2 linked regions of the Lepisosteus oculatus genome follow. The protein of the gene in region 1 purifies or fractionates together with the protein of each later gene. This does not show direct contact. Links are inferred from orthologs where the notes say so. Each region holds a gene or a part of one and is shown on either strand. Other genes may lie near its edges. The genes, in order: irf2b and irf2bp1.

Region 1 (15,701 bases):
AAAAGCTTTTCCGATTCAGAAGCACCCGACTCACAGAAACGGCCCTCTGCTCCACAGTTCTATGGACTCCACAAGGCCTAGCAGGGAAGATGGAAGGTAGGTTGTGTGACTCAGAGGAGAAAGAATAATAATAATAATTATTAATAATAATAATAATAATAATAATTTTACTAGTATTTAGAAAATACTCATACAGTATCCCAACGATGAATACTTTTGCTAAGAAAAATCCACATTCCTTCAATAGCAAATTGATCGAATTGCTCACTGACGTGTACAAAATGTCAAAACTGTCTTGACAGAAAATTCTTTTTTTTTATTTCGCAAAAAGAGATGCACAGAAAATTTTCAGTATATACAGTATGACTGATAAAAATTCCTAAGCAATTATGCATACATGTAATAATCTGACGTTGTGTCAGAACAATATAAAACCGTTTCAGCTCCTGAGAACACAATCTGAAGCAACTTGTCCAATGTCATTCAGATTCTGGTTTAGATTTTTATTTATTGCATACATTTACATCAATTGTAAAAACATAATGTTGTCATTTACTTAACTGTTGTATGAAGTCATTAAACCACTGACCCAAAGAGGTCGAGTGGACCTACTTCTGGAACAGAGGACGTTCTGTGCGCCGCGAGATCTGGTGAAAAGACGCTGGCCTTTAAGAGTCACTGCTGTGTGGAGGAGGCAGTGAAATATGATTCCCTGGGAGGTTTGGTTCACTAGTACGCAGACCCATATCCAATGACAGTGTGTGACAGTGAAGTCTTCGCTCCTCAAGGAAGAAAAGCCACTTCATTGCCATACATGGAGTTTGAGGGCACAAATGTACAGCAGGGACATGTCACCACAGCTACGGGTGTAATTATAGGTTTTGACACTGGAATGACAAGGTAGGTGACATCAGCTGCTCGAAGTTTCTTAGAGCACATCCATCACTTCACAAGCTTTGTAGATATTTGGAGGAGTTATCAGAAGGTTCGTCTGGTGGCAAGAGAACTGGACCTCAATGGAAATAGGAACCATGCCCGACAGATGAGTTTTTATCAGGTGAAAGTCCCCGACTGTAGTGGTGGTGATCTCATTGTCAGCGAAATGGCAAAACAAAAAGACAAAGGCATCTGAGGCACACAAAGCCACAGCTGTGTGCTCAAGAGCACAATGATCAACAGCTTCTGCTTATTGTTCACTTCACCCTCATGTGCGTGAATGTCTGGAAAAACAAACATTCAGAGGGTAGGTTTTCAAGCTTTATTTGACTTCTTATAATTCTCAGCCTCTCTGTCAGGGTTGGTTTGGTTAAGGTGTGTTTGTACCTTGGCATTTAGGGTATATAAACAATAAAGGTTAGAGTGCTGTCATGTGGACTGCAATGAAGTGGTGTGTTTATCTGGGACCCAGTGGCCTCCTCTAACTCCTGGCCTGTCTGACTGGAGGTGTTGCTGAAATCGAAATCACCGCCATCACTGTTCATCACGAGCACAGTGGTCTGGAAGCTACGCACTGAAATACAGAAGACGGTCATTCTCTCTGCTTGGCAAAACCGGAGAGCAGTCTGACTCCGGCTTGGACGCCTGTTACAGTAGGTGGCGGGTTGGGACACCTGAGAGTGACCCAACCAGCTCAGGCCAGGCAAGCACAACGTGCCACAGGCTGTAGAAAATGGCGCTGTGCTGTGCTTGTGAGGGTGGAGGGTTTTGAGGGGACGGGGTAGTGGCATCTTTCTGCAGATGAAGTGAGTGAGACCAGCTCCTCCCTGGACAGGTTTCTTCAGTGGCACACAAGGGCGACCGGCCCAGCGCAACGATGCCCATGCTCTGCTTCCTGCTCAAGCCCCTCTACTATTGCCAGGAAAGAGGCTGCTGAGGGCATCTGGTGGACATCAGCTAGTAGAAATAAATACTAATTGCAACCAATTACACATTTTATTTTGGCAGCGTTCAAGCACATTCTAGTATTTACAGATACAGCCTGAAGTACAAGAACATCGGCAAGTGTGTCATCATCAACAATGAAAATTTCTCAGGTAAGCTTCATGGTGTTTGTGTATCGGTTTCGTTTTTCTTTTGACCAAAATATTGTGTTTGCAGCAGCAGGAGCCCTAAAACTTTCATTTAGTTTCAACAAACAAGGTTCTTTGGAAAAGTCGGTTCCAGAGCAATGTGTAGATCTTGAATTGCTCTCTTCTGTTGTTCTGCTGCTTAATGGTCTACCTGCATGCCAGCAGCACTGTGCTGCATTATTTAATTCTAGGAATGCCCTTACTGTCCTAAATACTGTAGCACGGCAGAGCAAAGGCAATGCAGGATGACCACACCAGTACTTCGAGTAACCCTGGCTCTTCCAGGCTTGTTGTTGCAAGACTTCAGTTCAACCTGTACTGTAATTATGCAATGAACTCTTAATTACGTAATTGATTCTGCTGCTGAGGATCTATTAAATAATCAAATTGATTCAGGTTAGATCAGAATCTTGCAACAGATTGAAGAACAAGGAACCAAGATTGTCTGGCCTGGCAATCTACGCACCTCTCACAGTTTTCGTTGATTGTCAGGAATGAACAAGCGGATCGGCACCGAGGAGGATGGGAGGAAAGTGAGGGAAGCCTTTGGATCGTTGGGCTTCACAGTGCAGATGGAGAAAGACCTGTCATGCGCTGAAATGCGGCAGGTCTTAGACACAGGTACCGGCCTTCACAAAATGCAAAATATTCTCCATACGTATCGCTAAAATTAATGTTCAAATAAAATGAAGGGAAGCAGATGAGATGCAACTGTAGCTTTGTTTCCATTTCACTTACTCGCTAATCTGTAATAGTGTCATACACACAGTTTGAGAAACTAAATCTCTTTAGTGTCAAAGCACACAGCCGAGGTGCTGTGATCCAAGCTCTCACAATCCTCCGAGACGTTTATCACTTCTGAGGGGGCTTGTGAGCCTGTGGGCTTGTCAGCTGGGACCCGCTGGCGAATCTCCTGAGCAAACACTGCAGGACTCGCAGCTCAACAGCAGGTGGGAGCGTCGAACCACTGCAGCTGTGAGGAGGAGAGAGGAAGGGGCAGGAGGAACGTCTACATCTCCCCAAACTTCCAACACAGCACAGGAATGGTGAACCAAGTTATTAACAATCGGCAAGTCCGAAGAGGCATGGCGTAATTAAGACACTGAGAGGTTTTAAACAAACCACAGAACTGTATTGGAAAAGCATTTGTTGCATTCTCAAGGTCTTGCTGTGTGTATATATACAGCATACAGTACATTTAAACAGAACAACTGCGTTACGCAAAAAGAAGCACTTGGCATCTTCAACAGATGTGCTGTAGCTGACACTGTAGAATCCTTCCCTAAGCAGACGGAAGTGATTTGGGATCAATTAGCTGGCAGCAGTCAAACAAGGCCATGATGAAAAGCCTCCTGCCATTCACAGCTCTTTGTGTGTCTGATGTGTGCTGACTTGCTTTGTGGACAAGAATCTCCCTGCTGTGATATTAACACAGCTCTATTTTCTTTGTCTTCAGTTTCTAGAGAGGACCACGGTGAGATGGCATGTTTTGCTTGTGTAATTCTTAGCCATGGGTATAAAGGTCACATTTATGGGACAGACAGAGAAATTAAAATTAAGGAGCTGACTGCTCTATTCAGTGCACAGGACTGTCCAAGCCTAGCTGGGAAGCCCAAACTGTTCTTCATTCAGGTAAAGCATTTTAATTCCAGGGAAAGACAGAATGAAAGCAGGTGATGCAGAATATTAAAATACACCTCAAATTTTCTATATACAGTACAATGAAAGTAAAAAGGATCAATAGTCAATGTTCAAATTCTATATTACGTTTCTAATAACTTCATGAAAGGGAATATCTAAACTGTTTTTAAAGCGACCATAGTTTAAAAGCACAGAAATCAAGACTTCAGTTTCAATATTTTGAAACTTTAACAGCATTGCTGCTTTAAAAAGCATAAATATTTTTAAAGTACAGTACCAAGGACAATGTGCAAAATGTTCAATACGTTTTTATCAAAGGAAAAAAGTCATTGTAAATAATAATAATAATAATAATAATAATAATAATAATAATAATAATAATAATAATAATAATAATAATAACATATATTTACACATACTTTGACGTTTTATTATGTTTGTGTCTGTTGGAGAGTGTTTTGTTTCAGTTTTGTATCTTCCTTCCCGGTGTATTCATGGAAAATAACACAGAAAAAAAGCCGTGATCTGTCACTTAGGCTCCTCTCTCTCGCCCGCCCAGGCCTGCCGAGGAGAGGAGTACGACGGCGGCGTTGAGACAGACTCCACAGAAGCGGAGGACATTGACATCAGCGAGATCCCAGAAGAGGACTTCCTGTGCGCTCACTCCACCGCTGCAGGTACCGTCCCTGCGTCTCCTGTGCGGCCAACGCGGCGGAGCGCACACCTTCCTCTTTAGGCTGTGCACCTGCTCTGCGGCCTCAATAAAGGCAACTTTGATTGTCCTTGCCCGATTCATAGTGCTAGAAAGCCCAGGGTGTCATTAATGCAAGACCGAGAATGTCTCGTTTACATTAAAAGCAGGATACAACTTCTGGTTGACTTTTCGAAAGTTTTCTCTGCCATTTATCATAGCGGTATTACAGTCCATCAAAGTTCAGAAGTCTGTTTTGCCGGCTGGCTGCCCCAGATTGTGAAGAAGTGTGCAAGGTGCATCATCTTTCGTTTTCATCCTTATGTTTTTTTTTATTTTTTAATTAAAAATATAAAACATGTCTATTCCTGCTGTGATCCAGAAAAAAAAAGCCAGACATGAGAACTCTGGTTCGCTGCCGGTTTCTTTTTTCCCAGTCGTCTATAAGCAAGAAAGTCACGGTTGCTTTTTCTCGCCAGGATATTATTCATGGAGGAACCAGGTCCGGGGCTCGATTTTCATCAGAAGGCTGTGTGAAATGTTAGATCAACACGGCAGGGATCTGGACCTCGCTAGGATCCTGACACGGGTCAGTCACTGGGTGGCCCTCAGGTTTGAATCTGACACAGGTGCCTGGTTGTCTCATGGGAAAAAACAGATGCCATGCATCATCTCCAGACTGACAAGAGACCTTTACTTCAGCGAATAAATCACCACTGAATGTAATTCTTCCTGCCGGACATGCCTAAAGGAAACCAGATTGGATTTAACACAATTTATATGGACGAGGAATCATGTAGGGATTTTTTAAAGGTTACAGCTACACGCATTGAAAAAGCGCTTTTCTCTTGTTTTAGTTCTATCATATCCATCATATTTCTCTTCTGTACAGTATCTACAGGATCGAAATATTCTGCATATAGTCTTTCCATGACCTCATATGTTGTTTTTTTTATGACTGTTAGTTGTATTGCATCTTTAAAGACAAAATATTCCTTTCTTAAAAACGTTTGAAATTACAGCAGGGATTGTAAATAGTTCAAGTTTAAACCGCTATTGTGTGTTTACAACTGGATTTCTTTCTTAACTAAAATATCCTGAAAAATAAAATATTAAAATACTTACACTATAAAGTACATGAAAACGAGATGGACAATGCAATATCGTGTTTTTTTTAAAAAAAAACTGTATTTGGTGTGGTTGTGTACAGTATAAAGCACATAGCTTGAAAAATAGACTATACCCTAGACAATACACCCTTACTGAAAGTGAGAGACCTGAACACTACACAATGGCTTTATCATGAAACTCTCACGCAGTAAGATACATTTTCACGGCAGCAGACGTCACTGTGTCATCTTAGAAAATGTACTAGGGCAGGGTTTAGGGGTCTCTAGACAGGTGACTGGAAGGGTGTACAATAGGTTCAAATTACATGCTGAGCAAACAATGTCTTTTACTCAGAATGCTTCAGTCAAATGCCCAGCTGTATGAACAGGAACATATCCAAGTTTCTATTTTATAAAAGTGTCAGTCAGGTAAAATAACAACACTCACTGTGCTTTGAGCTCCCTCACACGTGGGTTTTTCGTGAAGAAAGCGCAAGCGGTATGCTGGCCTTGGTGTTTACGACGGCACACGTAACTGATTCATCGCTCCGACAGGTACGGCAGGAACAAAGTGCGATTCGCGCATTTCACAATCCGGCTGCGGAACACCTTGAACCCTGAAAGCTCAGGCAAGCGAGGCAGGCTTTACACCCTTATTGCTCCTGGTTGTAAAACCTGTCCCACCTCAGTCCTCGCCCCTTCCTGACTTTAGAAACCCAGGCGAATTCTTCGGTGGTAGAAAACATTATTGTACGACCAAGCCTGCCACACTGATAAGGCCAGAGCATGACTGGAGAACAAGAATCGGCTTGGAACAGGGAGATTGCTGCGCTGTTTTCCCTTAGAACTCTAACATTCATGTGGTTACACCCGAATCCATTAGATAACAATCACTATACATACACATTTATTTCTTACACTAAAATTCAGGATATAGTGCTGTTCAACAATTCAGTGAGATGGGATTTTAATATGGATTCACTGGGGGCCAGGTTTTTAAGGGTTACTTTCCGGACTTTTTCAGGAGCAAAATATTAAACTTTTTGTCGACGTCTTTTGATTCTTGAAAATACAAAGCACGTCTGCAGTTTCATATAAAAATGTTTAGAGGGGACAGATTTCAAAACTTAGAAAATATGTTACACAAATGTGATCAAATACGATCGTAAAACACAAACGGCTTGTAATGCTACATTTATAAACTTGTTTGTGTGTAAAAGACGTATATGTAAGTTTATATGTAAAAAGACTCTGAGAGTATCAGGATCGATTGTACAAATCTATTACTATACAATCATAATTACTATTTATATTAAGCACTATCATTTGCATGTTTGCACCATCAGACTGTTTGAAATAGTAACATACAAGACATCCCATAAAGTTGAACTTCCTTAAACTATCAAACAGGCTCTTCTTGTTTTTCGGATGTTCACACAGTGCTGCTGCTACAATTCTTTACAGTTGTGTAATGTGTCAGTCTCCAGTGTATTGACTGTTGTAGGGTGAAGTGCACACTATAGACTTTTGTTTTGCCAACTAGAACACAAAAATAATGTACGAAAGGGACACAGAAGTAACATTGAATCCTGTGCTAGTAATGGAAAAAAGAAGTCGCTTGATGACAACAGACTATATAAGGTTACAGTGTTTTTAAAAAAGCCTCTTTAGCCCAGAGCTCTAGAACTCAGGTCCTAGAGAGCCCCATTCCAGTTTATTTTATACAGCGGATCACCTGTTTGTATCATCTGGGAACACCTGTAAGTTACTGATCACCTAAACAGCTAATCTGTTCAATTAAGAACATCCTTTGCCCACACTGCCACTTGCCTCGGAATAGCCTCAGAAATGATTGGAAATGTTCGGTCGAGCACTACCCACAAGCCCCCTGCAACTGCTGCTCAACGGGCCTCCACTTTCTAACCACTTCATCCCACACCTTCCAACTGAATTACAGCCCCAGGGGCATCTGGGCACCCTGCTTCCACGCAACCTGAATCTCCATCTGATAGATCGATAGTCACGGGACACCATGGAACTGACTGGTGTCCCAAGAGCCCAAAAGAAGTGACCTTATTCCTTGTTAACCTGATGCCTTTGTATCCTCTTTGTTTGACAACGTTGGCAGATGTCACTACAATTTGTCTGGGTTGATTAAGGGTGGGGGCACGGACCCTACAGAACACATGCCGTATGCGGTCATACACGTTTTATGGAAAAGCCACGATTAGCAACTCCAGGTAATACACTGTCGCAGGGCCACTCCGAGGAAAAACAAGTTATGACACAATGTCCATCTGGAGCCCTTAACGGATTAATTGCATTTTTATTGCAGTTTCCACTCATGGGGGCCCAGCTTATTTCACACATACTGTACATGCGGACCCACAAAATGCTGCACGCAGAATATTCCTAGAGTGATGTTCTCAGAACAGAGAAAACAACGGGACACTACCAAGGAGAATCCCCAAGGCATTATCACAAAATCCCATAGAGAGAGAGAGAGGAATTCAGGGAAGACCTAGTTATGTGGGTGGTACAGTTTAAATAAAATTTCATGCCTTATTCTTGTTATTAAAATAAGAACACCCCCCCCCCCCAAAAAAAAAAAGAGCAATCAACAAACCATCGCAACACACATTTCATTCCTCTGTAAATGACAGAACTGTGTCGGATAAGGTGTTCATCTGCACCTCTCTCAGAACAGGAAGGAAAAACATCAGTCGTCTCAGGATCTGAAGAGAAAAAGTTCCAAAGTCCCTGTAATCTGTATGAGTTTATTAAACAGTTAACAGACTCCAGGCAATGTTGTCAGGGCATGCAGTTTTAAACCCGGAAGGCAATACATATAACTACGTCATTATTCTGATGATTTCTTTCCCCTATTTGGATTATTATGATTTTTTTGCTGTTACTATATTATATATACATACAATGATAATAAAGCTCCGAACAACCAGCGGCTCTGTCATTCTTAAGGTTGGAGGAGGGGTCTGCAGACCTACAGTAACAGCTGACCTTTGATCAAGGAAAGGCAGCGTCTGAAAACGAGCCCCAATAACGCAGCCCCGCGTAGCCATGGTCGTAAGCACGTGTAACACAACTTCCACCCTCTCAACTCGCTGAAGCCACGGGTTTTTCTTCTCTCTTTTTTTTCCCCTTCCGTTTTAATGTTTTACACCGTGGCTTCCGACTGCCTGCTGTGCGTTAACGCCGGGACCCGCACCTCTGCCGCTGAAGGCAAGCCGATTGCGAAACCAGCTTTGCGTGCGTCTGTCCCTCTGCCTCTGTAAATATTTAACTGGACGTCGGGCTCGGAGCACAAAGGGGGTCCGGTCCTGCAGCGCCTTTATGGACAATTAAAAGTGGGAGAGAAAAAAAAAATAAAAGAAAAGCGACTGACAAACACGCAGCGTGTGTGTGTGTGCGCGCACACCCGCACCGTCACAAAATACTCCGGTAAACAAAACGACGTGTCCGCCTCAACAAGCAACTCCCGAGAGCGGCCGGCCGGCCGGCCGGGGCCACCGCCCCCCTTTTCAAAAGCGCTGTTCGCCCAGGCAGCGCGCAATCTGGAGACGGCCACCAGCTACAAACCGGCACTTTGTAGCGCCAGGCCCGCTCAAGAGTGCGCAAGGCGGGGCGCCCCGGGAGGCACGGCGATGGCGAGTTTCCTGCCACACCGCCGGGCTTGCTCGCCTCCTTCCCCGGCGCGCTGCGCACACGCCAGCCGGGCCGGAGGGGAAGCGAAAATGAAATTTCAGTTTCCGAGAAATGATGACAGCGCCGCCGTGCACCAATGAGGGGGCGCCTCTGACTTCGCAGCTCCTCGGCTCGCTTCTGCACGACGCCCTCTAAAGGTTCAGGCGAAGGCGAAACAAACAGTCCGGGAGGGGATTTCCAGGCAGCTCGCTGTTTCCTCTACTTGTTTTGCTTTCGATCTGGACACTGAAAGCGGCCCCGAGTTAAGTTTTAGTTTTGTTACTGAGCGCCGCAAACTTTCACGACAAACTTTTCGGCCCCGGGGGAAGGACCTTTAAGGTTTGGACTGGGTCAGAAAGCGAGCAGGCGGGGTGTTTTTTTTAAAAAAAGAGAAATCAGGTAATGATGGTTCTTGTATATGTTTTTTTTTATTTATTAAGAATTATGTTTCCTTCTTGATATAAACAGGAAGTCCTGTCGCAAAAATGATAGACAATCAGATCAGGGATGTTCGGAGCATGTGAAGTTGGGAGAGGGACTGAGGTTTAATTTCACTTTTGGATTGAGAGACCGATTATCTCCGAGTACACAACTTGAACTTGCACAGCTGTCAGTGTACAGTATGACGCGCTCCAGCGAGGAATACGTGCTCGTCTTGAAATAATAACGTGCCCGATAACGATTGGCAAAACGTGTAACGTCGTACCACACCAGCCTGCTAATAATGCCAACAATCGTGTAGGGGTGATATTGATGGCTTTTGTCGAAATAAAATAAAAAAAAACGTTTCGTGTTTGCGAGAGGGTACGTTTCGTAAGAGAGTTTAGGGCGGTCGGTTACGGATGGCATATCTTTTATCTAGGCTGCAGTAGTAAGATCAGTGTCGTGAGCTGCAAGAAGCTAAATGTGCGGTTTATGTTTTAAAATGACATTTCTCCACATGCCCAGAAGCATACTGTACGCATTTTTTATTTTAGTTACGTGAAAGTGGTTGTATTTTTTTTACGGTATGGGTACGGCTGTTTTTATTCGGGGGGAAACCCTATATCGGACTTGCTGGGCGAGACGCCGCAGCGCCGTGGCTGGTGTCGGGCCTCCCGAGGCTGGGTGCCGTGCTGTCGGCAGGCTTGGGGCTCCGTAACTTGTCGCTTTAATCGGGCTTTCTCTCGGTTTCCTCCTCTCCTCTCCCCCCTCCCCGGCTGCGGCGAGCGGTGACGGTGCACGCTGGGCTCGCCGCCGCTGAAGTGACAGGCGGCGCAGCCAACGGCGGGGCGCTCCGGCCGGGGCTTGGCGTGAGAGGCCGCCGCCGCCGTGCCCCCATGTGCCGCACAGGCGTAAGCCTATCGATACATTGTAGTCTGCCAAGTCATACGACAGGCAACCCAAGTTGCACAGCAGGTGTCCTCTTCGGGCCTCGGTTCCGTCAACACATGCCGCCCTCTACGTAAGTTTGAACCGCTGTTAACAGTGCTTGGAAAAAAAAAGGGTTGAATTCGAGGCGTGCTGCTTTGGATACATAGCCCGTGTTTTTCTTGCAGACGTTGCAGTGAACGAAGGCATCGCTGTGGTCGTAGGTTAACTCCCATGTGAACGAGGCAGATATGCAGGTATAGGCGCTTGTTTTCCTAGAAAAAGAACTTGCCTTGGGATGAAGTTTTAATTTGACAGAATGCACATTTTAAACACAGTTGTCTTTATTCTAAAAGGGGGTTAAATACTGACGTTTGAATAAAGACTTGATCACGATCTGTGGTTTTAGTTGGTTTGTGTTTTGTCTTCCTTGGATCGACGCTGTGTTAATAACTAAAAAATGTACACCTAAAAGCAGATTCCTAGATATATAAAAAAAAGCTGATCAGGTTCAACTCCCACATCCCTGTTTTTTTTTTAAAGGTGAAGCAATCGCTCAGTAGAGAATTTCTTTCTCATGTTGCAGATGCAGTTTCTTAAAAGTTCTTGAAGGTGTGACAGCATAGCTAAAGTATGTATCCTCCCTGTGCTGTCATTCCTGATTAAACGTCCCAGGGGCACCTCCTAAAGATGTAGGATCTCTGTCTTCTGAAGCACACTGTAATCCAGCTTGGTCATAGTGTACAAGACTTCTAGCTATAGGGCAACTGTTTGTGATTTAGGGGGACATGCTGTGTGGTAATCGCTTAGATTTCAGGTTAGCATTATTCATTTTGAGGAGCCCAAATTAGAGAAGACATTTATGTGTTCGCTCTTATCTGCTTCTGGGTGACTAAGTTTCTTCTAATTGTGACTGTTGTTACCATATCTGCTCTGCTGCACATTGGGGGCTGAATAATCTACTTGCACATGCCTTGAAAGCATTTAGATATTAGATTGAAATCTCTGAGACCAGTACTATCTCACACGGGGGTAAGATGGAAATCAGATGTGTGTATCCCTCATTGTGGGTTACATTTAATCATCAACTGGCAAATGTTTATATAGCACTTAAATGGTACGTATCAGTGTCTGTGTCTGCTTGCCACATCGAGAGAGAAGTGTTCACAGATTAAATCAGACTGCTGTATATTGAGGAAGAAGTAGGTCTTTTCAGAGAGTACAGGAGAACGTAGATGTTTCTGTAGCTTTAATGCTCTCCAAGCTTGTTAGTGTTTAGTTTTTGACTCTTAAATGAGGTCACAATAGCATATTTTGGGGTTTCTGGTTGGTAGGCTACTCATTTCAGTTTATTTCCTTATAAGAGAAGCAGTTTTTTCGCTTTGTCCGTAAGAAGTTGTTTTATTTTAGTTGTTTTGCTCTGGAATTCCAAACAACAATAATGAGATGTGTGTGTGTTTAATGTCAAGGGTTAAAGTTAACTGTAGGATATAATCTGACCACCTGGCAAAATAAATCTGACCAATTAAATTACCTAGTGTGTGGTGGAACAGTAACTTGAAAAATAGCTGGCTTTTTTTATTTGTGAATTGCAAGGCAAAAATACGTTTTTTTAACTTGGCAGTTTTCCAAGTTTATCATTAGGTTTCCCTTCAGATAAATGTAACCCTCTGGGACTTTCAAAAAAAATATTAAATTCTCTGAGACTGTGTGTACAGTAAGTGAAAGATTCAAATATAACTGCGGTTTCAGGTGCCTCTGACATTTTCAAAAGGCAGTACATTTAGGCCGAAAGCTGTGTGTGTGTGCTTCTAATTACAGAACCTTTGAAGTGTTTCAGAATCAAGCTGAAATTGCAGTTTTAATAGTGACCAACGTGATCCGGAGTGTCACTAACGAACACGATGGCGTTATGGAGGGATTAAGTGTTCATCGTGAAATAATATTACCTATGAAAAAATAATGCTCATGCAGTTGCCAAGCAGGAGGTTGTTAATGTTTACAATGTTTTAATGTAGCATGGCATCCTTTAGGAGGAATGTAACCCATGGCCATCCAGTGAATGTGGAGATCGATGCTCTTCTGTTGTCTTCCACCAGATACCACTTGTACTTGTACTTGTACCTGAGACCATCTTTTCTGAGCTTCATTCAGTATGACCCCCACACGGTGATTCCTAAAAATAATAGCCTTTTAGTCATGAGATAGAAAATTGTCGGCATGCAGAAATGAAATAAGGGATGTTATTTTTTCCTCAGTTTCTGTCATTTACTTTCACATGGTGGGAAAGAAACTGCTTCATTTTGGATGCACTTCTGACAAGCCAGCATTCAAGGTTTGAGCTCCATTGCAGTGCTCTTATGTGGTGCTTGTAAAAAACCCAGCCCCAGTTCTGGCTTTGGTTTGGAGATTGTGGCTCACATTTCATTGAAGTCCATATCTTCACATAAATGCCACTGGAATTCGATTTCGGTGTGAGTGTCTTATTTAAAAGTGAGTTCATTTTTTTCACATTTGCAGAAGACAAGCAGGTGTGGTGTGCAAAACGAGCAAGTTTCAAATCTCAAACATTTACACTCGCCAACCACGCACACACACAAATGGCAACTCTTAAATCAAGAGATATTAACTTTGTGGTGTGTTGAATTTTACTGTTTATTTAAAAAATATTTCTATTATTGTGCTATCATGTTCTCTTAATAAATAATAAAGTTGTGAATTCTCTAAAAAAACAATTCCTGCAATATATTCCGTAGAATGCGTCTAGAAAAAAAATGTTCTAAAATTTGTGAAAACAGAGGAGGGGCAAAACATATTCCTTTTATTTGCTTTCCCTGATAAATTAAAGGTTTTAGAGTTCTGAGGCCAAAGATTTGGAGTTAGAGCTGGGCGGTAATTTGATAATGATAATTATCGCGATATAATTTTCCTCGATATAATTTTAACAAAAGTGCGATGAATGTTCGATATATATGTTTACGCTTTGCTCAAGATATGCGCATGCACACAAAATACTGCGCGAGTGCGCGTGTGTGTTGCAGACCGGGCAGCTGACAGATTTGTTTAAGGTTTCTGCTGTTTGGCAAGTGTTTGTTGTGTTCTTAAAATAAAAAGTTGTTTAATTTACCAGTTAACTGTCTGGTTTCTTCAACTTTCACTCAGGAGAAAAAATCTGCCTTTAAACTTGAAAGAAATAATGATTTGACAGTTATTGTGATAATTATCGATATCGACTGATATGAAATTTCTTGTCGTGATGTTTTTGGCCATATCGCCCAGCCCTATTTGGAATCACAGTTTTTTCTGTTTTGCCTCATGGTTCTCAGTGACAACTCCTGAACTGTAGGGGAAGAATGGAGAAAGGAGGCCGAGCTCCTCCATTAGGGTCTCTGTCGTCTTCTGACTCTCTGCAAGCTCCATAGCGACTGACATGAGAGCTAGCACTGATTGGAGGAATGGAGCATCTCTCTCACTGATGTCATTGAATGGTGCCTGGGTCTGGGAAGTTGTAGGAAGTTCATCTCGGAGAACCCTGGTTAAATAATTCCAGCGCTTTCCCTCACAGAACTGTATCAGTTGCACTTTACTGCTTAGCAAATCCCAACAGGACTCCACTAGGAAACCCTTGCTCTTTAACAAGTTTAAATTTAGTGATTACATTTTGTGATTAGATTCAGAGTGGCTCTGTGCAGTATAATAGCTACTAACGTAACATTTTGATTGTGCAGCGTGTGACATTTTGCGTTGCTTGAAATTATTTTCATGTTGTTATGTAAACATAAACATTTCCTTGTGCAGGGTGGGTTTTTAAAATTCCTTCTGAGGTATCTCAGTCAGTATCTTGTTAATTGAGATTTTGCCAAGAGTTTTTTGTCTTTTAATGTATCTTTGATGAGATAAGTAAGTTTACAATAAAAATACAATAATAACTAGATTATAATAAAACTAATGATAACGTAACATATTTTAGAGCTTTATTCATTTCTGAAAATCAAAGTTCTGTTGATCAAATTCCTGTCTGGAACCACAGGAGAGATAGGTTTCGTGTCTTTTTGTTTTTTCCTTGCACAACTGACTGCATTTCTATGGCAGGCTGATCTTTTATGGTGTTTTCTGAATATAATAGCAGGTCAGCCATTATGATCAAATATTAACCTTGTATGCAGTTTAGTGCCAGGGTCTTGAAACTGTCTGCTCTTTATAAACAAATCAGAGGACGTACTGTAAGTGGACACTACATGGAATTTTATTTAAACTGAGTACAGGAGGAACATCCTTACACATAGAGTTGATGGAGCATGGAACAAGCTTCCCAACCATGTTGTTGAAGCCGAAACCCATAGAAAATGAACTGGATGGGTGGAATGACCTCGGCCTCCTGTCTTAGATGCCCAAGGAGACATTTACCCAGGTAGCCAGAAAAGAGACAAAATTCAAGACACCATTACCCCTAGTTAAATCTGCTCTGATATGTTTTTGGTCATTGGCTGCATCGGTTAAGACTGATGGACTTTGACCCAGAGAAATGTTCCACTAGCAAGTGAATAGTAAATATTGCAATAAACCACCTGAGTCTGAATTTTTGTTCCTCCTCATCTTCTCACAGTCACAATAAAGCAAAGCGGAATCTGGGAACATTATAAATTAAGAATGTCTGCTCTTTGTCATCATGTTCCTTTGTTATGCAGTGTCCCAGCCTTCCTACTAACAGGGAAAGGTGATGGACTGAACTGGCCCACCTCACCCGCTCACTGTTCAGAGCAGCGGATGAAGACAGATCTGTGTCCAGCCTCCGAGGCGTTCCAGAGATGATTGTGGGGATTCAAATCGAGGGGCTGGAATTAGACACGCGTCTTTGGGCGAGCGCTGCTCAGTGCGGTCAGGAAGGTCGCCGGAGTTGTCCAGCCCTCTGTCCTTCTGCTTTCTGGGGCCGTGCAGAAGCGACACAGTGTCGCTGTGTGCATCTGTGTGGAGGGCGATTGCAGTCACGATGGTTGTACAGGAACAGCACACTGCATCTGTTCGCGGACACTTTCCACAGGTGCGGGATGCAGCCTGGGGTGCTCGCATCTGGAGTTTCGTTTTCTACGAGCAGGATGTCTGGGTAGGAAAGCAGCTGGTGCTTTTGCAAGTGCAGAA
Region 2 (15,917 bases), on another chromosome or scaffold:
ACAGCTCCTGCCTAACCCACACAGCTCCTGCCTAACGCACACAGCTCCTGCCTAACGCACACAGCTCCTGCCTAACCCACACAGCTCCTGCCTAACGCACACAGCTCCTGCTAACGCACACAGCTCCTGCCTAACCCACACAGCTCCTGCCTAACGCACACAGCTCCTGCCTAACGCACACAGCTCCTGCCTAACGCACACAGCTCCTGCCTAACGCACACAGCTCCTGCCTAACCCACACAGCTCCTGCCTAACGCACACAGCTCCTGCTAACGCACACAGCTCCTGCCTAACCCACACAGCTCCTGCCTAACGCACACAGCTCCTGCCTAACGCACACAGCTCCTGCCTAACGCACACAGCTCCTGCCTAACCCACACAGCTCCTGCCTAACGCACACAGCTCCTGCCTAACCCACACAGCTCCTGCTTCTTGCCCGTCAGCTCTGCTTCGTCCACAGCAACATTCACGAGTCCCCTGGCCTCCGGTAGGGGTGTGCAGACGCACTGCCGGGAGAGAGGAGGGTGTCTTACAGACAGGTGGAATTGCTCGGTCAGACACAGAAGAAAGGCACCACCCAGAGGAGCTGGCTCGGCTCATCTTGAAGAATCTGGAATTTTAGCCACCTGGTTCTTGGAGGAGCCCAGCTGAATGGCCAGGAAAGCTATTCCAGACATCCACAACTCTCAGTGTAACCCTAACCCTAACTCTCAGTTTAAAGAGGCGCTTCGTATTCCACTGAAGTGATTTAGCTTGCTTAACCCTTCTGCATTGAATAATCCCATAAAATTAAAAAAACCTACGGCTCTTCTTTGAACTTTTTAAAGTGTATAATATCCCTTTGATTGTATTGTGACCAGAACCAAGCACAAGATTGTGATAATATATTAATGAAGAGCCTGGAGAAAAGTATGTTTTTCAATGATTACAGTCCATTTATTACAGTTCTCTGCCTTTTTAAGAGCCACAAGATGAAACATGCTGCCTGATGAATTTTGTAAGGTGTAGGTAGGGTTATTGAGAAAATATTGTCCATATGGCTGACAGTATAATACAAACAATGAAAAGTGCCGCATGCTTGTCTCATTAATGAGGAAATGCATGGAGATGGGTTGTTAATGGGCGACATGGTGCCATGGCAGTTAACACAGCTGTCTCACAGCTCCTGGCCTGGGCTGGTTTGCAGCTTGGGGTGCCTTCTGCGTGGTGCCTGCGTGTTCCCCTGTGTGGGCGTGTGTTCTTTCCGTGCTCCTCTCGACAATGCGAAGACGTGCTGTCCAGGATAATCGGCATCTCTGCAGTGCCCTCCGTCTGTGAGCCCTGAAATGGACTGATGCCCCAGTCAGGGTCCTGCCTCAGCCTGCGCCCTGTGTCTGTGAAGTGCACACTCGTGCGTCAGGTGCTGTGCTTCTGCAATGGGACACCAGAGTGCCTTATTGCAGCCTCTTTGTAAAAAGGAAGGACAATAATGTTGTTTCTGCTTGGACAGGAGAATAGTCAAGACAAAGGTCATACACTCGTGCAAAGGGCACATCGGTGGTACTAAGATGGGGGTGATTTAAAACAGAAACTGAGGTTGCTCCCTCTTCAAGGAGGACCAGACCTGGTCCTCCAGCTGCCCTGGTGTTCACGGCGTCCCGGTGTTTCCATGGTCACACAGCTCGCGGGCTGGACCAGGGGGCCCTGGGGCAGAGACGGAGGGGACCTGCTGTCCTGTTGTTAATGTGTGCTCAACAGCAGTTAACCGGGGTCGCGAGAGGACAGCAAGAGCAGAAATCAGTCTATTTGCACCTTCACAGCTGAGGCTTTTCGAAGGAGTGGGGGAGGGCACTGTGTGTGTGTGTGTGAGTGTGTGTTGGCAAGGGGGTTGGTAGATCACTGCTTCAGATTCTGAGGGAGGTTGTGCTGCAGATGCAGGCCTCTCAGTGTGTGTGCCTCAGCAAGGCAACAGTCTTTGTGCCTGAACAAAGGCCTGGCTGAGTGTGTGTGCTGGTTGCCGTGGTTCAGGAGCGGAGAGTAGGGAATCACGCTGCACCAGGGCTGGGGGTCAGCGCTGTGCCAGAGAGAGGTCCTGCAGGGAGCAGCTCCATATTGCCCTGAAGCTCGGCACAGAGTCCGGCTCCTTCAGGAAGGAGGTTTCTTGTGCTGTTTCATTCACCTTGTGAGCAACACGGTGCCGCTCAGAGGGCCGGAGGAGGAGGCACCCCTGCGCATCTCTGCACCCTGCGCAGGGGGAGGCCCGGGGATCACTGAGCAGGGTGTGAAAGAGGGGGGGTGAATGATGAGGTAGCGCATTGTGTGTGTGTGTGTGTGTGCGTGTGTGTGTGCGTATATTTTCTGACGGTACATACATAGACGCAGCTATACCTCCTAGAAGCCTGATCTCATCAGATCGCTGACGTTTGGCGAGAAGGGTCAGGTCTGTATCTGGGATGAAAGACCTCAGGGGAGAAAGCAGTTTGCTGCTGCTGTACGACCAGTAGTGGTGCTCTTCCCCAGACCAGCGACCCCTTATGGTGACAGAGGAACAATGCTATGGAAGGTACCGACCTTCAGATAAGACAGCAAACTGAGTAAACTGACTACTTGGTTATTAAATATCCCAATGCATTGTTTATCAGTTATAATAATAATAATGTTTCTTTATTAGCCCTATACAACTTCTTGCATTAGGAATTTGTCTTTTCGCAGACCCCAGCTTGCTCTCCATGGAGACACAGACACACAGACAGGGAGAGAAGCTGGGGGTCAGAGCGCAGGGTCAGCCATGGGGTTGAGTGAGTGGGCTGGGGTGTTAACCCTGGCTAGATTCCACCCTGGACTTGTACTGTCTGGACTCTCAGAATTCCCTCCATAATTCAGTTTGTGAAACCCTTTCTCGCTCCTCCACCTGGTCTGTTTCCGCAGAGTGACTCCTGTGTATGCCTCAGTGTGCCCTGCACAGTGATAGATGAAGTGGAACCCTCCTATAGTGAAGCTCTCTGTGATCCCCTGTGATATAAGTTGTATGTCAATGCAGGGAATTATTACTATTTATTACCATTACTATTTAAACAAGAAAAAAAGAGAGCAGCAGTATTAGATCTGGTGATTTATCATCAATGCGACGTAACTCCCTGCACAAAACAGAGCAGACGAACCCATGTGGAAATCTAGCCTGACTCATCATCACAGGAGGTGCTGTGGTTTATACCAGTGAGAAGAATAAGTTGAGAAATTCAGTTGTTTCTGGGGTGGGTGCTCATCTTTTCATTCATTTCCTTGAGTTCTGTGGGCTAAACTAAAAACAAATAATAGTCCATCAGAAAGATAATTTGATCACGTTGTTTTACATTTTACATTCTGGTGAGCAGTGGTCAGCATTGCAGTGTTCGGTTTTTGGGGTGCTGGGTGGAGTTTGTATGTTCTCCCCATGATAACATGGGTTTCCTCTGGGTGCTCCAGTTTCCTCCCACAATTCAAAGTCATGCTGGTGGGTTACCTGGCTTCTGGGAACACCGGCCCTGGTGTGAGTGTGTGCGTGTCTGTGTGGCCCTGCGATGAACGGGCGTCCCATCCAGGGTGTACCCTGCCGTGAGCCTGTTGCTTGCTGGGATAGGCTCCAGCTGGCCTGTGACCCCGTACTGGACAAAGGAAAATCTGTTTAGGAAAATCTAATTTCCCTTCATCGCAGCGAAAGGTAGACAGCAAAAGTGCTCAAAACCTGTAGGAGTGGTTCAGGGTTTTCCAGTAAAACATCAGGTGCTGTCAGAATCAAGCAGGCAGTGGTGCCCCTGGAACAGAGGCTGGAGATGATTGTGAATTCGGGGGTTACAGCTTCGTACGGTCTTCTGCTCCTGTTTAACTGGGGGCAGATGGCCGCTAACACTCCCCTGCGCTCCGAGATTCACAAGAGGAACATTAACCCCAGTGGCAGTCTGTCTCTAATCCCAGAAAAAGAGTGAAAGGCTGACTGAGCTCCAATAACCCGGACTTTCAGCCCGCCCGTCTATTGTGCGACGACGGGTCTCCATCTGCCCCTCCTCCTCTCCACCGCGCTGTCTGGCCGGCCCATTGTCCGGCCCGTTCCACCGGGGAGGGGGGCCGGGGGGGGGGTATTGTCAAGATTCTGTGGATTTGGCAACATCTGGCCCTCTTCCTCCCCCCCTCTAATTGCTTTTATTGACCGTGTCTTCGGAGAAGGCGAGAGTCATAATAGAGATGGCGACCGCGTGAGCGGGGGGGGGGCGCCACGTGACCGGCTGGCTGTCGCCCGGGCTGGGAAAAAGGAAACGTCCTGATTCCCCGCTGGACGGCGGGGCAGGCCTTCAGAGAGGAAAGATGCAGTTTGTTTAATATTATTTTATTGCATTCGCCGTTAATCAAACGTGAATCGATTTTTTTTTGTAATAAAAGGAGACGGGTGGCAGGGCGGGGAAACGGGTCAGAGGTCGAGCGCGCTGTCCTGCTTTTGGGGGGAGGGCCGGCGGCGCCCCAGAAACGGGTCTGTGAATAGGAGCGGGGTGTGAGTGTCTGGGGAGGTGTGGCGGAGCGGGGAAGGGGTGCGCTGTGGAAGCAGGGATTAGCGATCCTTACCGAGACGGAGAAGGTATAAACATGCCCACACAAACGCGCGCACATGCTGCCAGGAAATCCACTGACAGCTTCTGGTGCCATCTGGCCATCCGGGCACCGCCCGCGCCTGCGCCCTGGAGGAGCTCCAGCCCCGCGGGAGCGCCCACGCACCCACGCACCCACGGCGCGACTGGCCCGAGGCCCGCAGGTGGCTCCGCTCTGGACAAGTTTGCGCCTTCTTCTCTCTTGCGCGGAGACTTCGGAGCTGCCTGGCGATTTCCTTTCCCGATTCCCGAATCCTGGAGATCCCATATAAAGACCTAAAATGTGAACTGCGTGTTGCTCCAGGCTATCCCGTGTAATCCTCAGACACGTGTGTTTTTACAGTCGTTATTCAACCCGTTTTACTGACGGGTTTAAAAATGATTGTAACATGCCTTCCGATGAGTTTCCTGAAATCTCTGCCCCGCGGTCTAGACCGAGCTTTCTGGTCTGAGCGTCTCCTGAGATTGGGGCGATCTGCACAATACAATACAATAGGGGTCGAACGCTATAAAACCTACTCAAATACGGCAAATCATTGTCAATAAAACACACAAAACACTGTAGGAGGTTTATCCAGTTAAGCTTAATTACTCTTTTTACAGCAGTATAGAGAAATGTTAAGATTCATTTCACAATAGGTTGAGATCGAACACTTTTTTTTTTCGTTTAGCTTTTATATATTCTTTTGTTGAGACGGGCTTATTTTCCCGCACAAAGAAGGAGAAGCTGAATGAAAATGAAGTTGAACGGTTTTCCTTTCGGTTTGATCCCGGTGGATCGTCGCTCTGGTTGATTTGAGTCGATCTCGGCCCCCCCCTGGCGGTAACACCTTGGACCGACGCCTTCGACCTCAAAACAATTCAAAAGGAATTTACAATGTTTTTGCTGTGTTGAATTATTAACATTGCAGTTTCTGGCTGCCATACTATGCAGATCAGACTTTCCTCTCTATAGCTCTCTAGGGCCTGTATGTTTTAACTAGACGGGGAAAGATCAACGACTTCAAGTCAACGACTAATTATCGGCAGAAGACAGTAGGATCAAACAAATCAGACGAATATCCCAATACGTGTTGACTTTACAGCAGGCGAGGCAGTTACAAAGTACAAGAGAATTTGTGAAGGATTCGTCTTTAAAATAAAGACGTAGGTCCAGCACCTCTCTGCGCACTGGTTTCCATGGGAACGCGCGTTGCCATGGCCACAGATCGTGCTGAAGCAATTGTGAGACGAATACCGATTGACCGAGGTTCCAGCGCAAAGCGAAGGTTTAAGTCGAATTGATGGTCCCTTGTAAGACCCATTTCGCTCAATCGTGCGCGTAAGCAACGGTGCATCATGAGAATTTTATAAAGATCCTAGACCATTATTTCTTTCACATGATTCCATTTACTTAGTAAACACAGTTATAATGATTTTGTAGGTGTTTTGCAATAGCAAGCAGTAGACGTTTCTACGTGTCGCAGGGAAAGCGCCTTGATCAACCAGCCGATAATCAAACAGCTCTTCACGAGCAGTGGCCCTGTCCAGGCGGTCTATTTCGCCTCTGCGTGGATTCCGACGACGCCACGCAAGCCTGCAACCCTCTTTTCAGTTCACGACTTTGAAAAGAAAGTTGCCTTCTCCAAAAAGCTCTCACAGGGTGACTTTGTGGGTTTGACAAGACGTGCAGAAGATACTCCTAGTTGTGTATTGGGGGAACTCCCATTACAGCCAAGATGCTGGTTGCGTAATAGGTGTGTTTTTTGGCAGCTCCTCTCCCACCGACGGTTAACCACACTGCTCTACAGCTCAGACATGCATGGAATGTCCCTTGCGCCTGCGCACTGCAGCAGCGCCGTGGGTGGGAGGCAGAGAAGGAAGTGGTGATGTCAGACTCTGCGGCGCAAAGCGCTCTGGGAGATTGAGTCCACACTTTCCCAGCGAGTTTGGGACCCTTGGGAGAGAATAAACGTTACTGCTGCTATTATACTTTACCTTTACTTTACCAAAGGTAAAGTCTGCTATTAGACTTTACCTTTGCCTACTGCCCTGTCTCTCTCACACCTGAAGAAGGCTCCACGGCCGAAACGTTGTGTTCTCTTTCTTCTTTTTTTCAGCATGGAATAAACCTATTACTTGTTCCTCTGCTGCTATTATTATTACAATAGAACGATCATCACAGCGAAGCTTGCAAGTTTAACATAAATCAGTAAATAGCGATTCAACATTTGTATTATTAGAGTTGTGTTACTATTTAGTCATTAAAAAGTAGTTTTTTACCCCGCGAATAAATATCTTGTGGGTTTTTTTCGAAGCTTTGCTTAGGTGACACAGCTTGGCCGACCTCACTTTCCGTGGACTAGAGGAAGGGCAGTACCCGCTCAGTGTAAACTGCACCCAGCTGGCCTGTGATGTGAATTCCTTACCTCACTGGTTTCCTGGGTCATGCACGCAGATGAGAGCTTTCGTCCATAAGACATAGGAAATGCTGGTAAAAGTAAACGCACAGGAATACTAATAGTAATGTCCGATCTTAACGGGTTTCTGTTTCCGAAAATCCGGTCCGTGTGAAGCCACGTTAAGCACTGTCATATGCCTGGGATCTCAAAAAACATATTTTAAATTAAAAATTAACTTTTACCGAGCTTACTGGAGAGTAAGTACTGAGGTGAACTCCCTATGAGAGAGACACTGAGGAGGAACCCGCTTATAATATAGGCAGCATAGAGGACATAATGCTGTATTCCTGGGCAATTGTACTGGACTTCTGACAGGTGATAGACTGAAACACACCGAGAGAACAGAGTCATATTCGCCGGTCCCAGGCGACCGCGCCGGTTCCGAGCGGGACAGAAACTACAGTTCCCAGAGTGCACCGCTCCGGGGTTGTGTAAGTTTCCAGCGTCTTCTAGGACAAACACTTCCACTCGGGCAGAGAGACTGGGGCGATACGGAAAAAAACAAAAACAAAACAAAACAGAAGAAAGGACAACAAGTGACGCGAAATTCTCCAGTTCGCCCGCGACAGAGGGGCCGAACCGTGTTTGTGGGATCGGGGCCGCGGACGAGGAACTCGGGAAGCGAGGCGGGATTTCAGAAACGGCGGCGCTGTGAGAGCGAGCGAGAGGGCCTGAGAAAATGTCCTCTGCTTCACAGGCTTCCTCCAGGCGGCAATGGTGCTACCTCTGCGACCTGCCCAAGATGCCCTGGGCCATGATCTGGGACTTCAGCGAGGCCGTGTGCCGCGGCTGCGTCAATTACGAGGGAGCGGACAGGATCGAGTTCCTGATTGAGACGGCCCGGCAGCTGAAGAGGACTCACGTCATGCAGGACGGCCGGTCCCCCGGGCCCCAGGCGGGCAAGCACGGCCCCGCCGGGAAGGACGCGCCGCTGGACGGCGGCCGGCAGCCCGTGGAGAGGCTGGAGCGGGTCCGGGCGGAGTACGGGCTGCCCGCCCGGCTGCCCAACGGGCTGGCCCGGCCGGAGGAGGCGGGGGCGGCCGAGGTCAGCCGGCAGAGCCCCACCTCCCGCCGCGCCATGGTGGGGGCAGTGCCCCCGAGTCTGGTGCCGGGCTTGGTGGGCACGCCGCACGGCCTGCTGGCGGCGGTGCCGGGGCTGAGCTCCCGGGCGGGGGCCACGGCGCTGACCATCAGCGCCCCCCTGCTGGGCGAGCTGGGCAAGCGGCAGGCGGCCGCGGTGGGCCTGGGCCTGGGGCTGGTGGGCGGCGTGGCCCCCTTCGCCGGCCCCGACTACGAGAAGGAGCTGAGGGAGAAGCAGAGGAACGCGGAGGCGCTGGCCGAGCTGTCGGAGAGCGTGCGGGGCCGGGCCGAGGACTGGGCCGGCCGGCCCAAGGCCGTGCGGGACGCCCTGCAGGCGCTGGCGGGCTGCGCCCCCTTCAACGTGCGCTTCAAGAAGGACCACGGCCTGGTGGGGCGCGTCTTCGCCTTCGACGCCAGGCCGGGCCTGGAGCTGGAGCTGAAGATCTTCACCGAGTACCCCTGCGGCTCGGGCACCGTCTTCTCCAGCCTGCTGGCGCTGGCCAAGCAGATGTTCCACGACTGCCTGAAGGACGCGGGCAAGGTCATCAGCTCGGGCGCCAAGTACGTGGAGTACGAGCGGCGGCACGGCGCCGGCGACTGGCGGCTGCTGTCCGAGCTGCTGAGCGACAGCGTGCGGGCGTTCAAGGAGGCCCCCGCGCCCGAGCTGCTGCCCCAGCCCTTCCTGGACGCCAGCTGCGCGCTGCTGCCCACGGCGCTGTGCGGGGTGGGCCGCGCCGCCCCCCCCAGGGGCAGCCTGCGGCGGCGCAAGGCCGAGGGCGGGGAGGCGGAGGGCGGGGAGCCGGGCAGCAAGCTGCTGGGGGAGGAGGGGCAGCAGCCGCGGCAGCACTGGGTGCCCGTCAGCTCCGCCGGCATCTACTCCGTCCTGCCCCACCTGCCCGGGGGCAGCCACGCCAGCCAGCCGGCGCCCCAGGAGGGGGCGGCTGCCCACAGCGAGCCCTCGCCCATCTCGGCGCTCATGAGCGTGGCCGACAACCTGGGCGCGGGGCAGTCGCCGAAGGACGCCCCCGGCTCCGCCCTCTCGCGGCAGAACAGCGGCAGCCCGTCCGCGTCCTCGCCCGCCGGCCAGCCGCCGCGCCGCTTGGCGTCGCGCAACGGGGACGCGGCGGCGCCGCCGGCGCAGGGACCCCCCAGCAGCAGCGCCGGGGCCCCCAGCTCCGCCGCCGCCTCCTCCGCCACCGGCGCCGCGGCCGGCAGCAGCAGCGCACCTCTCCCGCTCGCCGCGCCCGGGGAGCAGGGCGCAGGGGAGCCCCCGGGGGGCAGCGCCGCCCCGCTCTGCTGCACCATCTGCCACGAGCGGCTGGAGGACACGCACTTCGTGCAGTGCCCCTCCGTGCCCAGCCACAAGTTCTGCTTCCCCTGCACGCGCGACTTCATCCGCAGCCAGGGCCCCGGCGGGGAGGTCTACTGCCCCAGCGGCGACAAGTGCCCCCTGGTGGGCTCCAACGTGCCCTGGGCCTTCATGCAGGGCGAGATCGCCACCATCCTGGCGGGAGACGTGAAGGTGAAGAAGGAGCGCGACCCGTAGCGAGCCCAGGTGAGAGCTCGGGCCGCGGCCCCCGGCGGACAGGGGGGGCGCCCCAGCCTGCTCTCCCCGTGGTGCGTCGGGAAGCGTGCGCCCCGGGGGAAACCTGTCCTGTTTGTTCCCAGGCTGCCGGAGGTTGACCCCACTGGGGAGTGGCGCTGGGGGAAGGGGTGCGAGGTGGGGCTCCTTCCTCGTGTCGAAACGGTGAACTTTATCGAGCGCCTCGAGCAGGAGTAAAGGCAGCGGATGAAAACGGGGTGCAGCCTGTGAGCGCGACGGCGACGGCCGTCCCGGTCGTGGCCCCTGTGACCCCCAGGTGCCGCGAAGCTGACGTGCTCGTGTTCTCTTGTCCCACAGGGGGTCCCGCGCGAAGCCGGGGGGCGGGGGTCTGCGTCCGGCCCAGCCCAGGAGGAGCCTCCTCAGACTTTGCTAAGGGCGCTGCGTGTCCAGCCTGGGCCCCGGTGGACGAGACTGTCCGGCTCGTGCGGGTCCGGGCCCTTCGCTCGGGGAGGGGTCCAGCACCCAGATGCCCCAACACCTCTGCAGAGAGAACCCCAGCGTGTCTGCGGCCTGGGGCAAGCTCCCCCACCTCCTCCGGCGCCCCGAACTCGATTGCTTTCTTTCTCAACCTACAAGCCTACGGCCCCCCCAGTCGGACTGAGGCCGAGCCCGGGGCCTCCCTGACCCCTGACCCCTGACCCGGGCCGGCGGGGACAGAGCTGACCTCCTTTCAGATTTTATACCAGGGAAACACGGCGGAGTGCGTCCTCTCTCTCTTTGGATATAGATGTGCAATCTCTAGTTTTGATACGATGCTTTTTTCTACGTACCACTGAATCGTTATGCCTACGCAAACGGAAAACCAAAGATAGTTCCAGCCCGCGGCGAGGACGGCGGGCCGGGCCGGGCCGGGACCCCTGCACAGGTGCCGCAGGGGCGGCGGGAGCGCGGCGTGGCCCAGCCCCAGTGCATCGTGGGCTGCCAGCCGACCGGACGGGCGCTGCAGGGGCGCTTGCAGTCGCACACGGTTGAGTCTTACAGCACAGGTGGTGCCTAGCAGCGCCTTCAGCGGTTTTCCATAGCGGGTCAGAAGCGGGTTTGTAAGCGTTTCTGCTGTGTCGTCTTTGGCTCGGTGGAGAACAGGGACGAGGATTACGGGGGTCTGAGATGGACATGTAGCGACAGAGCGAAGAGCCTCTCGCCAGCCCCGTGAGAGATCCTGCCCGTTCTAACGCTGTCATCAGACGAACGAGCTGCTCTTGTGTTGTTTGTCCTGCTTCACCGACCGATAGGAGAAAGAGAACAGGCAGCTGGGGCTCAGAGGGTCCAGCCTGTCGGGGTGAGAAGGGGCAGGGGTCGTTCCCGTGCGCGTGGAGCGTCGAGGCGGGAACACGGCGTGCCCGGGGCCTGCTGGGATTTGCCCGGGCAGCGCAGAGCGGCTGGCTCCCGTGTGTGTCTCAGAGCTGGAATGCCCTTCGCTGGCCGTGAGAGCAGGTGCTGCAATAGCAGGGCAGACACAGATAGACACAGGGGGGGAGTGGGGCAGACACAGATAGACACAGGGGCAGAGCTGGGCAGACACAGGGGCAGACACAGATAGACACAGGGGCGGAGCGGGGCAGACACAGATAGACACAGGGGCGGAGCGGGGCAGACACAGATAGACACAGGGGCGGAGCGGGGCAGACACAGATAGACACAGGGGCGGAGCGGGGCCTGCATGCTGGGCCTTGCACCCCTAGTTCAAGGCCTTTACAGAAAGCTGTCTGGACCCAGACTGGCCAGTTCCAGTACCATGTTGTGTGCGCTCCTGTGAACACACGGAGTCTCCATGCTGAGGCTGCCTGCCTTGCTGTGTAGTAATCTCCATCCTGCATTCTGTCTGTCTTCTAGTCTGCGTTACATGGTGGCCCCAGAAAAAAGGAAGGCAGTTAACTGAGAGAATTTGTGGCTTTTTTGTTGTTGTGTTTTCCTGTTCGCAACAGATACCATCTCCTGGCCTGGGATGACGAGCAGAAACGAGTGCTTCTTGCAGAACAGTTGAGCTGTTTCTATACTGTTGGTTCTGGGGTTTTTTTCGGAGGTGTTTAGCTGTGCAATTCTGCCTTTGTCGGTTTCGAAACACTATGAAATATTTGAGTCGATACGTTCTGACGGTTATCTGCACACCATTGAGCCTCCTGTGGTCTGAAGAAGCATTTTTTTTAGTCCACGACGCGCATGAACAGCGAAAACAAGTGATTAAAGGAAATGATTCAGTTTGAGCCTGTCTGTACACAGTGAGTTGGGCCTTTTGTATCTTTTTTTAATGGATGTCTTACCATTTGGCACAGCTCAAAGCGCTGTGCTTTCAACTTAGTGTCTCCTACAGCTTTTCAATTGCTACATGACGAAATGCCCTGTCGTCTGTGGGTTTAGATACCAATAAAATGCCTTCTACTCAAAAGCTCTGACTAGCTTAAAGAGCTGAGGTGTTTTCACTGGGCTGTGTTCCAGTGTAAAGCGCTCTTCCTTGACGCTGGAGTGGAGGCTGAGGACATTTCTGGTTGACGTTCTTGGTGTTTTCGGAAGAACAGCTCTCACTGGAGTGTGACACAGAGGGTCCGATCCATTTCTGACTGCATTCCAGCCGCACTTTTAACCTCTGGTTTAAAAATGACATGAAATGAAAACGACAAAATGTGTTTGTTGTGCGTTTGCACCACGTTGCTTGTCCCAGTTGGTTTAAAAAAGAAGTCTACAGTGTTCTTTGCATAGTTCTAGTTTTGTTGTGTTTTTTTTTTGTACAAAACAATCACCAAACCGTGTTTGCCCTCAGAAGTGCCTAACTGATGCTGTTCCTTGTCCGTTCTGTGCGTCTGCCTTAATAGAGCCCAGCAGTGTGTCCCCCAGCAGGACTCGCCGGGCGGGGAGCTGAGACGGCTCGAGATGGGGCCGTGTAGATTGTGTTTCTCCATGAAGCGAGAGCCCAGCACACGGCACCCGTCAGGCCTGGCCTGTGGGACGCTGTCTGTGGCCTGTGGACTAGGTTACGTCTGACTTCCACATGTACACACAGGGCTGGGATTTCCTGTCGCTGCGCCAGAGGGTGGGGCGTTCTCCTCTCTCTCTCTCTCCTCGCTGTGCGCGAAGACTGGACAGTATTTAGGTGTTCAGGAGCTTGGGTGGGTCGTGCTTGCGTACCGTGAGTCTGCACACTCGTGCGCTTGTGCAATGCAAAGCTGCACCCCAAATATCTGTACCCCAAGCTGTGGTTACCGACGCAATAATGACGGAAAGCCAAAGAAGTGCTTTTCGTTGGCTCAGAATTTGATAAACATGGGTCTCCTGCCCCTCTGTGTTCCCAACAAAGCCTTGTGGTTTGGGGGAATGCAGAGCTGGTCGGGACACTCCCCTCCTGTTGCACTGGTCAGTCGTCTGGCCAGTCCTAGTCCTATAGAGTGCCTTCTAGAATGACCATGACAGCACGAAACGGTAAGGAAGCCGTCATCAACGAACACGCATGGGAGCAGATTTGTGAATTCAGAGTGTGTGTCCAGCACCGTTTATTAAAGTGTTTTCCCAGTTCTGCAGTTTCTTAGTTTGGTTGCTAGGTTGTAGGCCCTGTTACTATATTTCAGGATGAGAAGGTGTTTACTGTTTTTTTTTCACAAGCATATCCAGGGTGTGCTGGGTTAAGCAGCTCTGAATGAAAGAATCTTTTTTACTCCTCCACCCAGAACCCAGTTGTGGATTAGCACAACAGAAGAGCTGGAAATTCCCACCCTGGCTGCTGTCCTCAGTCCAGGTGCGTTAGTTCGATAGCCGCGGTCCAGACTGCTCTGTTTTGTAGCTGTCACGCCTTTGCTCTTGTGATGCTTGATAGTACAAAATCTTCTTTTGTAAAAAAAAGGGTTAAAGTATAAATAAAAAGGCTAATTTTTAAAAAAAAACGTTTTAATAAAAAAATGTGGAGATGAGAGGTTTCTGGTTGACTGGTTTGTTCCCGTTGCCGTGCGGTTTCTCCGGGCTCTGCGTGTGAGGATCCCGGCGCCCGCGTGGATCAGCACAGCGTCGGGGCGGCCGGACCGCGGGGGTCTCGCCTGCACCACGCCAGCCAGGGACTGGCCTCTCTGTCGCTGCTGCCTGGGTGGAGAGGGGGACACGCCCACTGCTCCAGTGGCTGAAGTCCGACTGCTGGGCCCTGTGGATCTCCCAGCATGCCCCCACACAGGCACATGTCACTATGGATCTCTCAGCATGCCTGATACAGGCACATGGCTCTTTGGTGCTCCCAGCATGCCCTGAGACACAGCCCTGCTCCGTGGGCGTGGCTGGAGCAAGTGTGCACCACTTCTTGGACACAGGAAGGGTGAGAGATGGCAGCACACAGCCACATCCGAAGATCGAAAAGCAGAAAACAAGCTAAGGGAGTCGCCCGTCATCTGTGTGCGTCTTAAGCTCTTAAAGTTACATCACTTTATTAGCCCTATATAATTTCTTGCATTAGGAATCTGTCTTTTCGCATACCCCAGCTTGCTCTCCATGAGACACACAGACAGGGAGAGAAGCTGGGGGTCAGAGCGCAGGGTCAGTCATTGTACAGCACCCCTGGAGCAGCTGGGGTTAAGGGCCTCGCTCTTCCAGCCACATGATCATGTGCCTCTGGGCCACTGCCATCACACCACCCCTGGTGTACAGGAAGAGCGAGACATCGGTCGCTCGACTCCTGCAGCTGCACACAGTGAAACACACCGGGGGGCACTTCCTGACCGGGGGCAGTGGGGCTGGAAGAGGCTCAAGCCACCCAGCCATGTTGTCCAGCGCTGGCTACTCTCGGAAAGCAGCAGGATGAGATCCTGGGATCCAACAGCAGCCCAACAAGCTAGAGGGGCAGAATGGCTTCTGTGGTTTGCAAACCACATTAATGTCTAGATGTCTTGCGTCGGGGCCCAGTGACCAGCCACCAATGTGGTTGTGCCGGCTGCCTTTCAGGCTTCGTGTTTTATCTCTATATGCGCAGGGTGCTTGTTTTTAGTTTGGCAGGAACCTTCCCTGTCTGCTCCTGCCCTCACAGTGGAGTACAGAGCAGTACGTATCCTTGGAATTGGGTTTAATCACACAAGGTAGCTGCCATGCAAGAAGACTTTGCTTTGACAGTACAGACGTCTGAAACGTAGCATAAAATCTGGGGTTTGGTGTAACGATATCTTTAGGTTATCTACCAGGTTTCCGTGGGTTACCTGTGTTTTGGGTTTCGAACACTGCTTGTTGAAAACCGCCTGGTGCTCCTTGTGGGATAACTGTTGATCCAGTTCTTTAACTGCAGACTTGGCAGTCTGCCCACGTGGAATGCAAGCACAGTTGTGTTAACATACAAAAAAAACACGTTTTTTTAAAAAGAACCGACGCTTTAGTGGGCTTTTGTAGTCGGTGGTCATCGAGTGTTTTTTGGCGGGGGGTTTCGAAAGAGATGCGGTGTGGCAAGCTGGTCAGGAGGGGGCGCCCGTGCACTTCGTTCAGAGTCTTCTAGGCTCTCCGCGGCGCTGTGCTAAGACAGGGTTCAAACAGCACTTGAATTTATAAGGAACAGGTAAAGGTTTATTCCACGCTGAAAGATAAAGCAAAGAAACGCAATGTTTCGGCCGTGGAGCCTCGTACAAACGTGTTTCTTTCCCTTTGAAGGAATCTTTGACTATTCCCGTGCAGACTACCTACTCGGACACCTGGATTGAATGTACACGGGCAGTGTAAATTGCCCGTGTTTTCCGAGATCAAACACGATGATGCAGTTAAGAACAGTGTTTACTACTTTGGAGTTCTAGCATCTTAAAATGATGGGGCTGAGCTGGGAGCTTGGATTTTAGCACGACCCAGGTTAGCTGTCCAGAGCAGGGTTTCTAAAATACGTATGTGTGGAGAGCATACAGTTTATTTGAAACAAAAAGAAAACACCCAACGTGTTGCCCGAAAACGTGAAATTCTCGGTTCTTCTTTAAGGTGAAACGTACTTTAAAACCGAAGGTGTTGAGGGCGTCGTCACACGTGTAAATGTGCGTGAGAAGATGGCGAGCGAGCTCGCAGGAGGTGTGGAGACGGGGTCTGTCTGCGGAGCGCGACCCGGGCTACGGCCACACCGCACCGCGGGCCTTCCTGGGCGAAGCAATCACCCTCCTGCTTCCAATCGCTGGCTTCCTCCCTATTAGCGCTAAATCATCCAGGCCTTTGTTATCTAATTATTGAGGTGTTAATGACTAATCTCTGGCGCATTGGTAT

Evidence for each region.
Region 2: the proteins of irf2b (region 1) and irf2bp1 purify together in Homo sapiens (affinity purification with mass spectrometry; 4 studies listed by BioGRID and IntAct, counting the BioPlex papers as one, with this or other methods). This does not show direct contact. The link is inferred for Lepisosteus oculatus from reciprocal best matches to the Homo sapiens genes IRF2 and IRF2BP1.

Annotation. Positions count from the first base shown.
Region 1 is NC_090696.1:75,450,329-75,466,029, reverse strand, and holds the start of irf2b (interferon regulatory factor 2), read left to right. Parts: upstream 1-9,642; 5' UTR 9,643-10,656; intron 10,657-10,750; 5' UTR 10,751-10,813; coding exon 10,814-10,819; intron 10,820-15,701. Other genes in the region: caspase-7-like, read left to right, coding at 815-900, 1,945-2,033, 2,562-2,690, 3,526-3,701, 4,270-4,387, 4,881-5,110. UniProt on the Homo sapiens protein: Specifically binds to the upstream regulatory region of type I IFN and IFN-inducible MHC class I genes (the interferon consensus sequence (ICS)) and represses those genes. Also acts as an activator for several genes including H4 and IL7.
Region 2 is NC_090698.1:1,449,281-1,465,197, reverse strand, and holds irf2bp1 (interferon regulatory factor 2-binding protein 1), read left to right. Parts: upstream 1-7,421; 5' UTR 7,422-7,718; coding exon 7,719-9,665; 3' UTR 9,666-9,674; intron 9,675-10,019; 3' UTR 10,020-10,108; downstream 10,109-15,917. UniProt on the Homo sapiens protein: Acts as a transcriptional corepressor in a IRF2-dependent manner; this repression is not mediated by histone deacetylase activities. May act as an E3 ligase towards JDP2, enhancing its polyubiquitination. Represses ATF2-dependent transcriptional activation.